Linked DNA regions of Saccharomyces cerevisiae S288C. Changing the gene in region 2 together with the main gene of any one other region gives a genetic interaction. Each region holds a gene or a part of one and is shown on either strand. Other genes may lie near its edges.

What was found.
Region 1: mutations in MRH1 (region 2) and COX10 together harm fitness more than expected from each alone (negative genetic interaction), as found in Saccharomyces cerevisiae (2 studies listed by BioGRID).
Region 3: mutations in MRH1 (region 2) and PET494 together harm fitness more than expected from each alone (negative genetic interaction), as found in Saccharomyces cerevisiae (one large-scale study listed by BioGRID).

What each region holds. Positions count from the first base shown.
Region 1 is NC_001148.4:223,853-227,689, forward strand, and holds COX10 (protoheme IX farnesyltransferase), read right to left. Parts: upstream 1,890-3,837; coding exon 501-1,889; downstream 1-500. Other genes in the region: mitochondrial 54S ribosomal protein uL24m MRPL40, read left to right, coding at 1-184; OYE3 (NADPH dehydrogenase), read right to left, coding at 2,317-3,519. UniProt on the Saccharomyces cerevisiae protein: Catalyzes the first reaction in the biosynthesis of heme A, a prosthetic group of mitochondrial cytochrome c oxidase (CcO).
Region 2 is NC_001136.10:506,292-509,635, reverse strand, and holds MRH1 (Mrh1p), read right to left. Parts: upstream 1,490-3,344; coding exon 527-1,489; downstream 1-526.
Region 3 is NC_001146.8:704,203-708,108, reverse strand, and holds PET494 (Pet494p), read right to left. Parts: upstream 1,971-3,906; coding exon 501-1,970; downstream 1-500. Other genes in the region: RNA methylation protein TRM112, read right to left, coding at 1-321; AGA1 (Aga1p), read right to left, coding at 2,233-3,906. UniProt on the Saccharomyces cerevisiae protein: Required for the expression of the mitochondrial gene for cytochrome c oxidase subunit III (COX3).

The DNA of each region.
Region 1 (3,837 bases), on a different chromosome or scaffold from region 2:
CTTGACAGCGAAAGATATAGCTAAGCTAGTAGCACCTGAGATGCCCCTAACAGAGGTAAGAAAAAGCCATTTGGCAGAAAAAAAGGAGTTGGCTGAGAGAGAAGTACCAAAACTAACTGAAGAGGACATGGAAGCTATTGGGGCGAGGGTTTTTGAATTTTTGGAAAAACAAAAAAGAGAATAAATGTACCAAGTGTATGCACTCTATTTTTATATTTGATTCTCTAGTGTGATTTTTTTAATCAGTATATCCCCTTCACTATTCACGTAGTAAATAAGTTATATTCGACCTGTATATATGAAAGCATAAAGTAAAGTTCAAAGAATATTCAGATATTGATGTGGGCAAACGTGATGACTTCAAATTACAAAATCTTTTCTTTAAAAATAAATTATGTGCGTATGTACATTATTTTTAACCAATAAAAGGGTTTAAATATTTATTTACAAGATTAATGACTGCCCTTTAAGCGTTGTCTCTTTATCTCATTGTACTAATGCTAAAATCGTTCCTGTGGTCGCTTTGCTTCACCAGGATATATCCAATCCCAGCGGCCTTTTTTATGTATAATGGCTAGGATTAGAATTGCCGGTAGGTGCAATACACTAGCCATAAAAGTTTTCCTTGCATAAATGTTGGCTACACTTAGACCTTTATTAAACTTGACGTTATCTTTTAATGTTTTTGCAGAATAGTTGATTCTTTGTTGCCAATAGAATTTGAAAGCCCAGAACGTTAGCCAGGCATTTATAAGTCCGGAATCTATTTGGTAGTACCAATCTGTGATATTAAAATAAGACAATCCGAAACATAAAGGGAACATTAGGATAGAGTATCTCAACGACACACGGGCGTTTAGGAGCGGATTTTTCCATGCAGTCATAACGTATCCGGCATTTTTGTATTCATTTCTAATGTTATGACTCAACGTATTAAAGTGTGGGAATTGCCAAGCAAACAATAGACCAGCAAGGCACCAAGATCCCGGATGTGAAAGCGGACTTGCGGCTGCCCATCCCATTAGAGGAGGTACCATTCCTACTAGGGCACCTAACCATGTGTTAATGATATGCTTTCTTTTCATAGACGTATAGGCCCAGCCATATAACGCGATATTTGAAGCACCAAGAATAGCAACGGTAGGATTAACACCAAAGTACAAGATAGATACTCCTAATGTTCCGATAAGTGCGGCAAACTCGAATGCCTGGGTAGGTGTAACATCACCTCTAACAACGGGCCTCGCCTGAGTTCTCACCATTTGTCTATCAAATTCTGGCTCTCTGCCCATATTTATAGCGTTTGCAGAACCGGAACACAAAGTAGTGCCTACTGTTAAACATAACAATTCATTGACGGAGGCTGGATATGGAGATAAAGCATACGAACAAATGGCACTTAACATCACTAGAATGGTGAGTCGGGGCTTGGTCAACTGAAGATATGGCATAATTACCTTCTTCTTTAAAGTTTTCATATTCAGCCCTTCGCTGATTGCGTGAGATGGTCTCTTAGATTTTCTTACCATCGGGTCTACAAGTTTGACATTAAATGGAAGTTGTGTGCTTGCATCGGTAGTAGCTTCGCTTCCACTTGAAGTTGATATATCATCTGTGCATCTTAGCGTTTTCATGGCAGTCGATTCAACCTTTTTATTGCAATTAGAGGTTCTATCACCATATCCAAAATTGGGAGTAAATTCTATCGGCGCAGTGTTTATATGTTGCTGTTTCCCGCCATGATTCCGACTAATATAACGAACTCCATTAAATCGAATTTTTATTTGAGTATCGTGCAGCTGTGTACCAATTTGTAAGTATATATTCCCTTTATTATGAGCAAGAACATTTCTCATCAAGTGAGCATATGTTCGAGGAAAGTAACTCATCTAAAGAGGAAAAAAGGAGAAATCGAAAAAAAGAGATACTATAGGCCTAAAATAAAAAGACCCCGCTATGAGGAATATTAATCACGCCCGAATCACGTCTATTGCAGATATCAAGAATTTTCTTCTTTGATTAATCTCACTTGCGGTGGATTTACGTCAATGGGCTTGCAAGCATAAAAAAGTCATTTTATTATTCCCTTTGAACAGCGCGCGGGCACGAGAAAGCTGCCCTATATAAACAAAGATCGAGTCTTTTTGGCTTGGATGATGTTTAAAATACTTTAAAAAGTGAAGACAAAAACTATCTTTATTTCCTTAAGTTATAATTATTGATGTATCAAATATAAATATCTATATGTGAGTTTTGTAATTAAAAATATGGCAGGAATATGAAAAATACATAACATCAATGTCTTTATTCATGATTTCAGTTCTTGTTCCAACCTAAATCTACTGCCTCTTCATATGTTGGGTAGTCGGTATAACCTTCCGCGGACATGGTGTAGAAGGTACTTCTGTCATACTTGTTCAATGGCAGGCCCTCTTCTAAACGGTAGACTAAATCTGGGTTAGAGATGAAGAATCTACCATAGCCTATCAAGGTTCTGGGATCCTTTACTTGTTCTCTAACCACTTCTGGATGAAGAGCGTAATTACCAGCTCTGATGATTGGACCCTTCCATATAGAGTAGGCAAAATCGTTAGTACCCTCGGAATATTCTCCTTCGCCCTCCACCAACGATGGGTCCGTGACACGTGGTTCAACGAGGTGCACAAAGGCCAAACGCTTACCAGCCTTTGCCCTCTTCTCTAATTCACCCAAAACATACGAATATTGAGCGATAATACCTGGTTCAGCACCCCCAGACATACTGTTAAAAGTGCCGTACGGCGACAACCTCAAACCCACCCGTTCAGGACCGATAGTTTCGATAAGAGCATCGACAACCTCCAGTGTAAAGCGGGCCCTGTTTTCGATCGTTCCGCCGTATTCGTCGGTCCTCTTATTAGAATGTGGATCCAAGAACTGATTCAACAAGTACCCATTGGCGCTATGAATTTCTACACCATCGGCGCCAGCCGCGATAGAATTCTTAGCCGCATGGATGTAATCCTTGATATACTGTTTAATGTCGTCTTTAGTCAAACTATGTTCGAGATTATTCGCATCTTTGGCCTTTTCTTGTAACGTAGCATTCATATACACTCTGTCAGATGCACAGTCATAGCGTAACCCGTCTCTTGCCAATACGTCTGGGAAGGATGCCCAGCCTAAAGACCAAAGTTGTACCCACGCGAACGACTGACAATCATGGATGGCTAAAAAGATATTCTTCCACTCAGCGACCTGCTCATCAGACCAAATCCCAGGGGCGTTGTCATAGCCGCCGGCTTGAGGGGAAATAAACGTACCTTCCGTGATGATCATGGTACCAGGTCTTTGAGCACGCTGACCATAATACACAGCAGCCCACTCCTTATTTGGAATATTTCCGGGGTGAGTGGCCCTCATTCTGGTCAATGGGGGCATAACCGCACGATGTGCAAGCTGAGTGTTACCAATCTTAATTGGTTCAAAAAGGTTTGTGTCTCTTAGGGAGATCGGCTCAAAACCTTTTACAAATGGCATCTTCTAAATTTAAACTTCGCTATACTGAACTACAGTTGTTGTATATATCAAGTACGTACTTTTTTGCATATGATGGGCAAGAATCAAGCACAGTTCACAACCCTTATATAGGTTCGAGTTGTCCTACTTACAACACTGTGCTTAGTAATGGTTATTGCGACTTTATCCTTGTTCTGAACGGAGTTATATCAGGAACGCAAACTGCTTACTAAGGAGCCCTTCTAAGGAGCCCTCCGCAAATAATAGGATCGGCAATTTCAGACGGAGGACGGAGCCGCCTAAGTGCCAAGAACATTAAAGAAGAAAGAAATAAACCTT
Region 2 (3,344 bases):
ATGCCGCGCAAAGCAGGCACCGTGCCTTTATCTTTCTTTTTTTTCCTCCAGCACTAAACCTTCCATAACAATACTATTAGAAAGGTTGTTATCAAATATTAAAATAACTATTAAAGTGATACAAATATATATATAGATGACGATGGGCATAAAAAAGCTCGTTTCTAATCATCAACTATACGTTTCTTGATCAAAATGCACTGAGCAAAATATTGTTATGAAAACATACTTGCTTGACGAAATGGATTAAATGGATCCATTAAATTAAAAAATGAGTCTAGAATTGCACTTTATGATAGAAAATAAAAATTCGACAAGAAATGGTGATAATTTAACGAACGAAAATATTGAAACGTCAGGAAAATAAAATAAAATATGATAAAAGTTGAAGATGGAGTAAAATAATCTTGTCAAATAATCAATAAAGACAGTTTTATCCATTTATAGGATTGGCTTGAAGTAGAAAATTCTTCAAAGATGATTGAAAGAAAGAAGAAAGTAGCACATAATTGACATGACGATTGGCTTATTCTTCAGACTTCTTAGACTTCTTAGATTTCTTGCTCTTCTTAGACTTCTTTTTCTTGTCCTTACTCAAGTTTGGTGTAGCAGCAGGTCTTGGACTAGCAACTGGAGCTTTTGGAGCCATCACTGCTTCGGCATCACTAGGTCCGAAATGGTAGCCCAATTTGTCAGCACCGAAGTGGTTAGCAATTGGAACCAATAAAGTTGGAATGAAACACATCAAAATAAGATCAATGATACCATAGAAAATACCGGCAGAGTCTGGCTGCAAAACGTTACCACCATCGGTAATACCGAAACAAGTTGGGTAAGCAATAATCCACAAGAACATAATAATGCTGAAGAAAACAAGGAATGTCAACCTGATATCGTTATCTCTTTGTTTCACCAAGTTGTAACTGGTGGTCATAACACTGATACTAACGACAATAGCAGCACCTAGACCGATGGTGTAGTAACCCCATTTGTAAGTGGAGTGAACACAGGCAGCGATCAACCAACAAACAGTGAAGAATTCAGTAATACAAACATTGAAAGCCATTTGCCAGAATGGGGTACCAGCTAGCATACAGATTTGAATAATTGGCCATGGCAAAGCTAAGAACCAACCAACGAATCTAGAGTAGAAGATTTGTCTGTAACCTGGATGTTCTTTTTGAGTAGAAGTTTGGACATGGTTGTACTTAGCCTTGACTGGAATCCAACCTAAGTTAGAAGCCATGGTGAAATAAGCGATACACATGAAAAAGTTTGGAGCAATACCGGTAAGGTAAAAGAATCTGTCATTGACTGGTTTTCTGAACATTAAGAATGTTAAAATTAAACCAAATAATAGGTAACAACAGAAACATGTCCAGAACCAATCGGAACCACGACTAGTGATGTGGAAATCCGCACCGGTTGGAGGGTTAATTTTGATGGCTTCGTTACCACCTCTTTTAATTAAAGTTTCAAAGGTAGACATTGTTATTTTTCTTCTTTGTTCTGTGGGTTAAAGGAAGATGATTAGATATTAAGTGAAATTAGGTATTAGTTAAAATTAAAGCAAAAAATTAATGTTAAAATAGGGTCAAAAAATTGGATGTAGAGAAAGAAAAAGTTATTGAAATAATAATATTTTTGTTCGAGGAAACTTTTTTTTTTTCTGAGTTTCTTTTATTATTCTTTTTCTTCGCAATGTTTCTTAACAATAAGGACAAAAGATAGTGACAACGATCTAAGAATTAAAATAAGCTTAATAATAAATAAAAAGAAGAACTTGAAAAGGGAAAAAGAAGAAATAACGAGAAGTGGGAAAGAAATAAGGATATATCTTAAGTTACCGAAAAAGACACTACTTATAAATGAAGAAACCAGGTGAAGAGATCCTTTGTTTTACGAAGACCGTATTTATACATTTCCCTTCATGTACATGTGTGATAAATTGGAAAACCACTTCTGGAATTAAACTGCTTTTTCTGACATCCTTGTGCAGTCGTTACTGCGATTATTTACATCTTTACTGATTCGTATGAGTGTTTATTTCCATTTTGCCTTTTTTGTCCAGGAAAACTAGAGATGCCGATTTTCGGTTAACAAAAAAAGTCCTGGTGAGGGAAAAAAAACGCTATTTTTTTTGCTCACCGCACTAAGAACTAGCCGGAGAAGACTAAGCTAGGAAAGGGATGGAACAGATGACGACGAAGAAGATTAAGTAAAAAAGGTAAAGGGAGACGAGATGGTGACAAGTATCTCTTTTTTTTATTGCCTTTTTCATATTACCTATTACCGCAAACTGATATATTTCTCAAAGGAGAAATAGTAAAGTGGAAGAGGTTTGGGTCTCTTGGTAACCGGACTACATTTGCAAGTTGCATCTTCCATCGAAGTATTAATTCCCTCCATCCTCTTCTCACTAACACCGGCACGATTTTAAAAATTTTTCAACTCCGTTGTTGAATTACGTATTCCTCTTTATGGTAAGCGCTAAGATGAACAGCGCTGAAAAGCAAAATTTGAATGCTTGAAATTCAGAACATGACTATTCGTTCAGTACTCGCTTCATTTGCATCCTTAGTTAATTTGGCCTGAATTACTTTTTGAATTCAAGAGATAGTGCATAAAATGCGGCCCCCCTTTCCAGCTTCCATAAATTGCGCTGATTGCATGTCTGACTAAGCTTTTTTTTTTTTTTAAGCGACCTTGTCTCGAGGAGCATAATAAAAAAAAGGGAGTAAGGTCGGCGGCAGTCGCTTTTATTAAACTGAAGTAAAACAGAACAAAAATTACTTAAGGGTCGCTAATATTACCCTTATCCTCTCAACAAAAGATAAGAAATTAATTGACCTATACCTATAATACCTAATAAACCCAAAAGTGTCTTGCTCTGATGTATTTGTTTTTTTTAACACAACCTTGCTACCTTAGGCCATCGAGAAGAGATTGAGGTCAAAGTGGAAGCGTTGGAAAAGAAGGAAGACCCATAGTATAATGAAGCTAGTTACCATCCTTAGACGACGCCCATATTTTTCAATTTCTCTTATTTTTTTTTTACGCAGCGTAGCAGTTATGGACAAAAGCCGGCCTGAAACAAGATTGAGATTAAATGAAAGGGCGTCTGCTTGTATATGAACTCAGTCGTCCACTCTTTTTAAAGTACTCTACTTATATAAAAAAAAAAGATAGGGATTTACAATGTTAATTATTACACGCAGCATCTAGCGTATGATTGTATGTCCCGAATGCCCCGTTATTACCCAATAAAGCAAATTAATACGGTCTTTTTATAAAGCTGTGCTTCTTTTTCGGGGTAGTTTTTCCGTGAAACCCGTAGATGGGAA
Region 3 (3,906 bases), on a different chromosome or scaffold from region 2:
TTCGGCAATGGACGTCTGTAGCAGTAAAGTATGCAAGTCATTAAGGATGGCCATGTCGTCATCGGTGAGCTCCTGGATCGAAGATGGGAAGGATGGTTTGGTAGGAGGTAAGGCGTTGTTTCCCAATTCGGCAGCAACCGTGAGCACTGCAGGCCAGTCTACGCGGTCGACTATGTTCAGAAGGAATTCTGGATTGAACTCGATAGATTCATCCTGTACCAATTGGCATTTGCTGCCGTCGTACTGTAGGGGGAAGTTGTCGTTGCTGGTGTCACAGGCTTTAACGGAGCACTTTAGGAAGTTGGTGGTTAAGAACTTCATGTTGACTAGGCTAGTAATATGATGTGTAGAGCCGAAGAGATCATAGGATGCTACAGTAGCTTCATTGCTGGTGAAGTAGTTTTGCTTTTAAAGCTCATCGATGAAAATTTTACCCAAAAAGATACAGTTTCGTATGAGATGATGAGTGTGATTTGGGAGGTACATATTTACATGTTTTATTAAGAAGAGTCCGCCTGGATATCAGAAATGCGTTTCAGCAGCGCAACCACGTCCCTATTTTTGCTTAGAATTTGATAACAGGTTCTCTTCTCTGCCTGCGAAATGGTACCAAGTATTTGAGAGCGGTCTTCATCTCTCGGCAGTAGGATTCTGACGGTTGGCCCTGCGTGTTTCTTCTTGTTGCGTTGTAGGAAACAATTTAGTTTGAGGATGCTGATTAGTTTGAATATATTGTCATTATAGTCGTATTTGCAGCCTGTTTCTTGCAAGTTGATATATCCCTTGAGTAGTCGTGTGTATGTTTCCAGAGATATGCTCGGTACTGGCTTGTTGACAGATGGAGAATTTACATTAGGGAAAAAAAGTTGAGTACGTTCGTTGTAGGGATTCATTACAATTGAAGAGTATTTCTGGAATATCCTGTTATCCTGCATGGAGTCATTAATTAATATATCGTAAAAATCTTCTTCGGTTCTGTTGTCGTAGATATTATGGGGGAAAAGGAAGGAATGGTCGTACAGCCAAAGACCCAACAGTTTTTTTACCTCGTTAGATCGCACCTTTCCATAGAATTGCTTAAACTCACCCAAGGTCTTCAAACTGTTGTCGTGAAGTTCTGTGCAGATGAATTTCAATATCGTTGGGTATTTAGACCAGTTCGGCAGTTGAAAATTCTGCACTTTCTCAGGTGATGTCACTATCTTATCGAAATTTTTATTCCACAGGTCGTAGAACACGTCTATCCTTCGATGAGTACCTTGTACCTCTTTTCCCTTAGTCAAAAGCTCGACTTCACGCCGCCATTCCTCGCTGTTGTTATTTTGAGTCATGGTCGTGGGTTGAATAACATCTCGATACAGCATATAAGCATATAGCATGTGGAATATAGATGCCTTCGCACGCTGCGAGTCATAATCAGTGACATTTTCCCTCTTATTCAAAATCAAATCTCCTAAAGTATACTGTTTTATAGGGGTGTCTAACTTTGCGTTCTGCTCCTCGACTAAGGGATCTTCCCGGACATGTGCTACATCAGGTTGCTCCCATTTAATATCATCTTCTTCACCCCTCAATTCAATATCTCGTGGCAAGCTGAGGGCCGTAGTCTCGAGCTCTTCTCTCTGTTTCGCCAGGCTCACCTGTGCCGCCATCATCTGCTCTTCGAATGCTCTTTCACTGCTGATAGTAACCAGCGTATTATACGTAACAATGCCCATAAATGCGACAATATTAGTTGTGACAAACATCAAATTACCAGGCGCATTGAAGTATCTCCACAGTGTACGCAGATATGGGAATGTATCACCATTACAGCTCAGGAGAAGTCCGTTTGTCCTTGTGAAGTTTGTCACTGGTTTCTTCCTACTTCGAGAAAAATGCATATTCGTCTTAGAGTTTACGGAATAAAAACGCTTCCATAAAAGTCGCCATACTGTGCTAATACTCCTCTTCCCCTTTTTCAAATGCATCGTGTGTTTCCACGCCTGCTCGGGTGCCTTTGCTGTCTCCAAGCTACTGTTGTTATCCGTTTGTTTTATACTTTCCTTATTTTGTAATTTACTATTGGATGTATCTCCCCGCGTGAAGTCACTAGAACGGTTTAAAATAAAACTTTAATAAATTTATAAGCGTCAGCAAATACATATCAATAGAGAGCGTTTTCATTACATTGTTGTATTTTTATTCGATTGATTGTATATGTTTATATAAATGAATTAAATTGTTCTGATATTAACTGAAAATTACATTGCAAGCAACTGCCATGATGGCGAAGACCAACTTTCCTAATGGCAAACGCGTTTGCGATCCACTGCCCATATATTGGCTAATTGTTACCATTGATGAAGTTTGGTATTGTATGGAGATTGAAGTAGTGGAAACTTCTGTAGTGGTAACAGATGTTTGTAGAGAAGAGGGAGCAGATGATGATGAGAGGAAAATAGAAGATACCGTCGGAGTCAATGATGAAGATTCAATAGTCGATTCCACAGAGGTAGATGGTGTAGAGATAGATGTTGCGGAAAGTGATGATGTAGAGGCAGATATTGTAGCAATAGCTGTGGAAGAAGTGGGTTGTAAAATCTCTGATGTTGAAGAAATTTGAAGTGTGGTAACTGGTGACTGTTCGACACTTAGTGATGATACAGAACTGAATAGCAAAATAGTACTGTCAGAGGATAATGTAGCAGACAAGGAGGAGGATGAAAGGACCGATGTCGATAATAAGTGTGATGATTGTTCTTGAGATTCTGAGTCAATGCTTGATGTACTCGTGGCTTCACTTACACTAGTCGAAATGGTTGAGGTACCTGAAGATGTTACATGATACTTACCGGTAGCGTGCTTATTGAAATCTTCATCCGAAGTTGTCATTGAACTTACCCAACTCTTTGTGGATGTGGTCTGCTGTGTTACAGAACTTGATGAAGCTGTTTGCACGGAAGAATACGAGTGTGACGTTTCAGCACATGTGGAGCATGCATATGAGGATTCAACCGTTGAGGTGCTTACAGAAGTTGCGACGTTTTTAGTGGACATTTTTATAGAAGATGTAATCAAACTTGTTGTCTGCGAGGGCATGCAAGACTCGTGAGTGCAGACTGTAGCGTCTGTTGTAACCGTTTCATGCATACTGGTTAATGTGCTAGTCTCAGATTCAGAGCTATAAGGACACCATGTCGTATACATTGTAGTGACTCCACTAACAGTGGTGAAATATGTAGACATGGAAAATGATGGGATAGTAGTAGAAATTGAGGATTTGGTGATATATTCAGACGAACTTTGTGAACTAACAGTTGTTTCAACAGTTGAAGAAGTCATAGAAGGAGTTGCAACATTTGACGAAGTCGAAGGGACGGAGTAAACAGGTGTGGATGGGCTGTATAATGACACAGACGTTGATGAAGATGCTATAGAGGAGCCAAGGGATGAAGTTGAATCAGTAAAAGTAGAGCTAATAGATGTTGAACTTGGAGAAGTGGAAGCCAAAGTTGGAGATGAAGAAGTCAAACTTGGGGATGTAGATGTTGAATATGAAGAAGTGGAAGTGGAGCTTGCAGAAGTAGATTTAGAACTTGGAGATGTAGATGTTGAACTTGATGAGGTAGATGTAGAGCTTGGAGATGTAGATGTCGAACTTGATGAGGTAGATGTAGAACTTTGGGATGTAGATGTAGAACTTGAAGATGTGGATGTCAAACTTGAAGATGTGGATGTCGAACTTGGAGATGTAGATGTCGAACTTGATGAGGTAGATGTCGAACTTGATGAGGTAGATGTCGAACTTGATGAGGTAGATGTAGAGCTTGGAGATGTAGATGTAGAGCTTGGAGATGTAGATGTCGAACTTAGGGAGGTAGTAGTTGGATTGGACGATGTTGTACTCGAAAGTGTAGAGGTGAC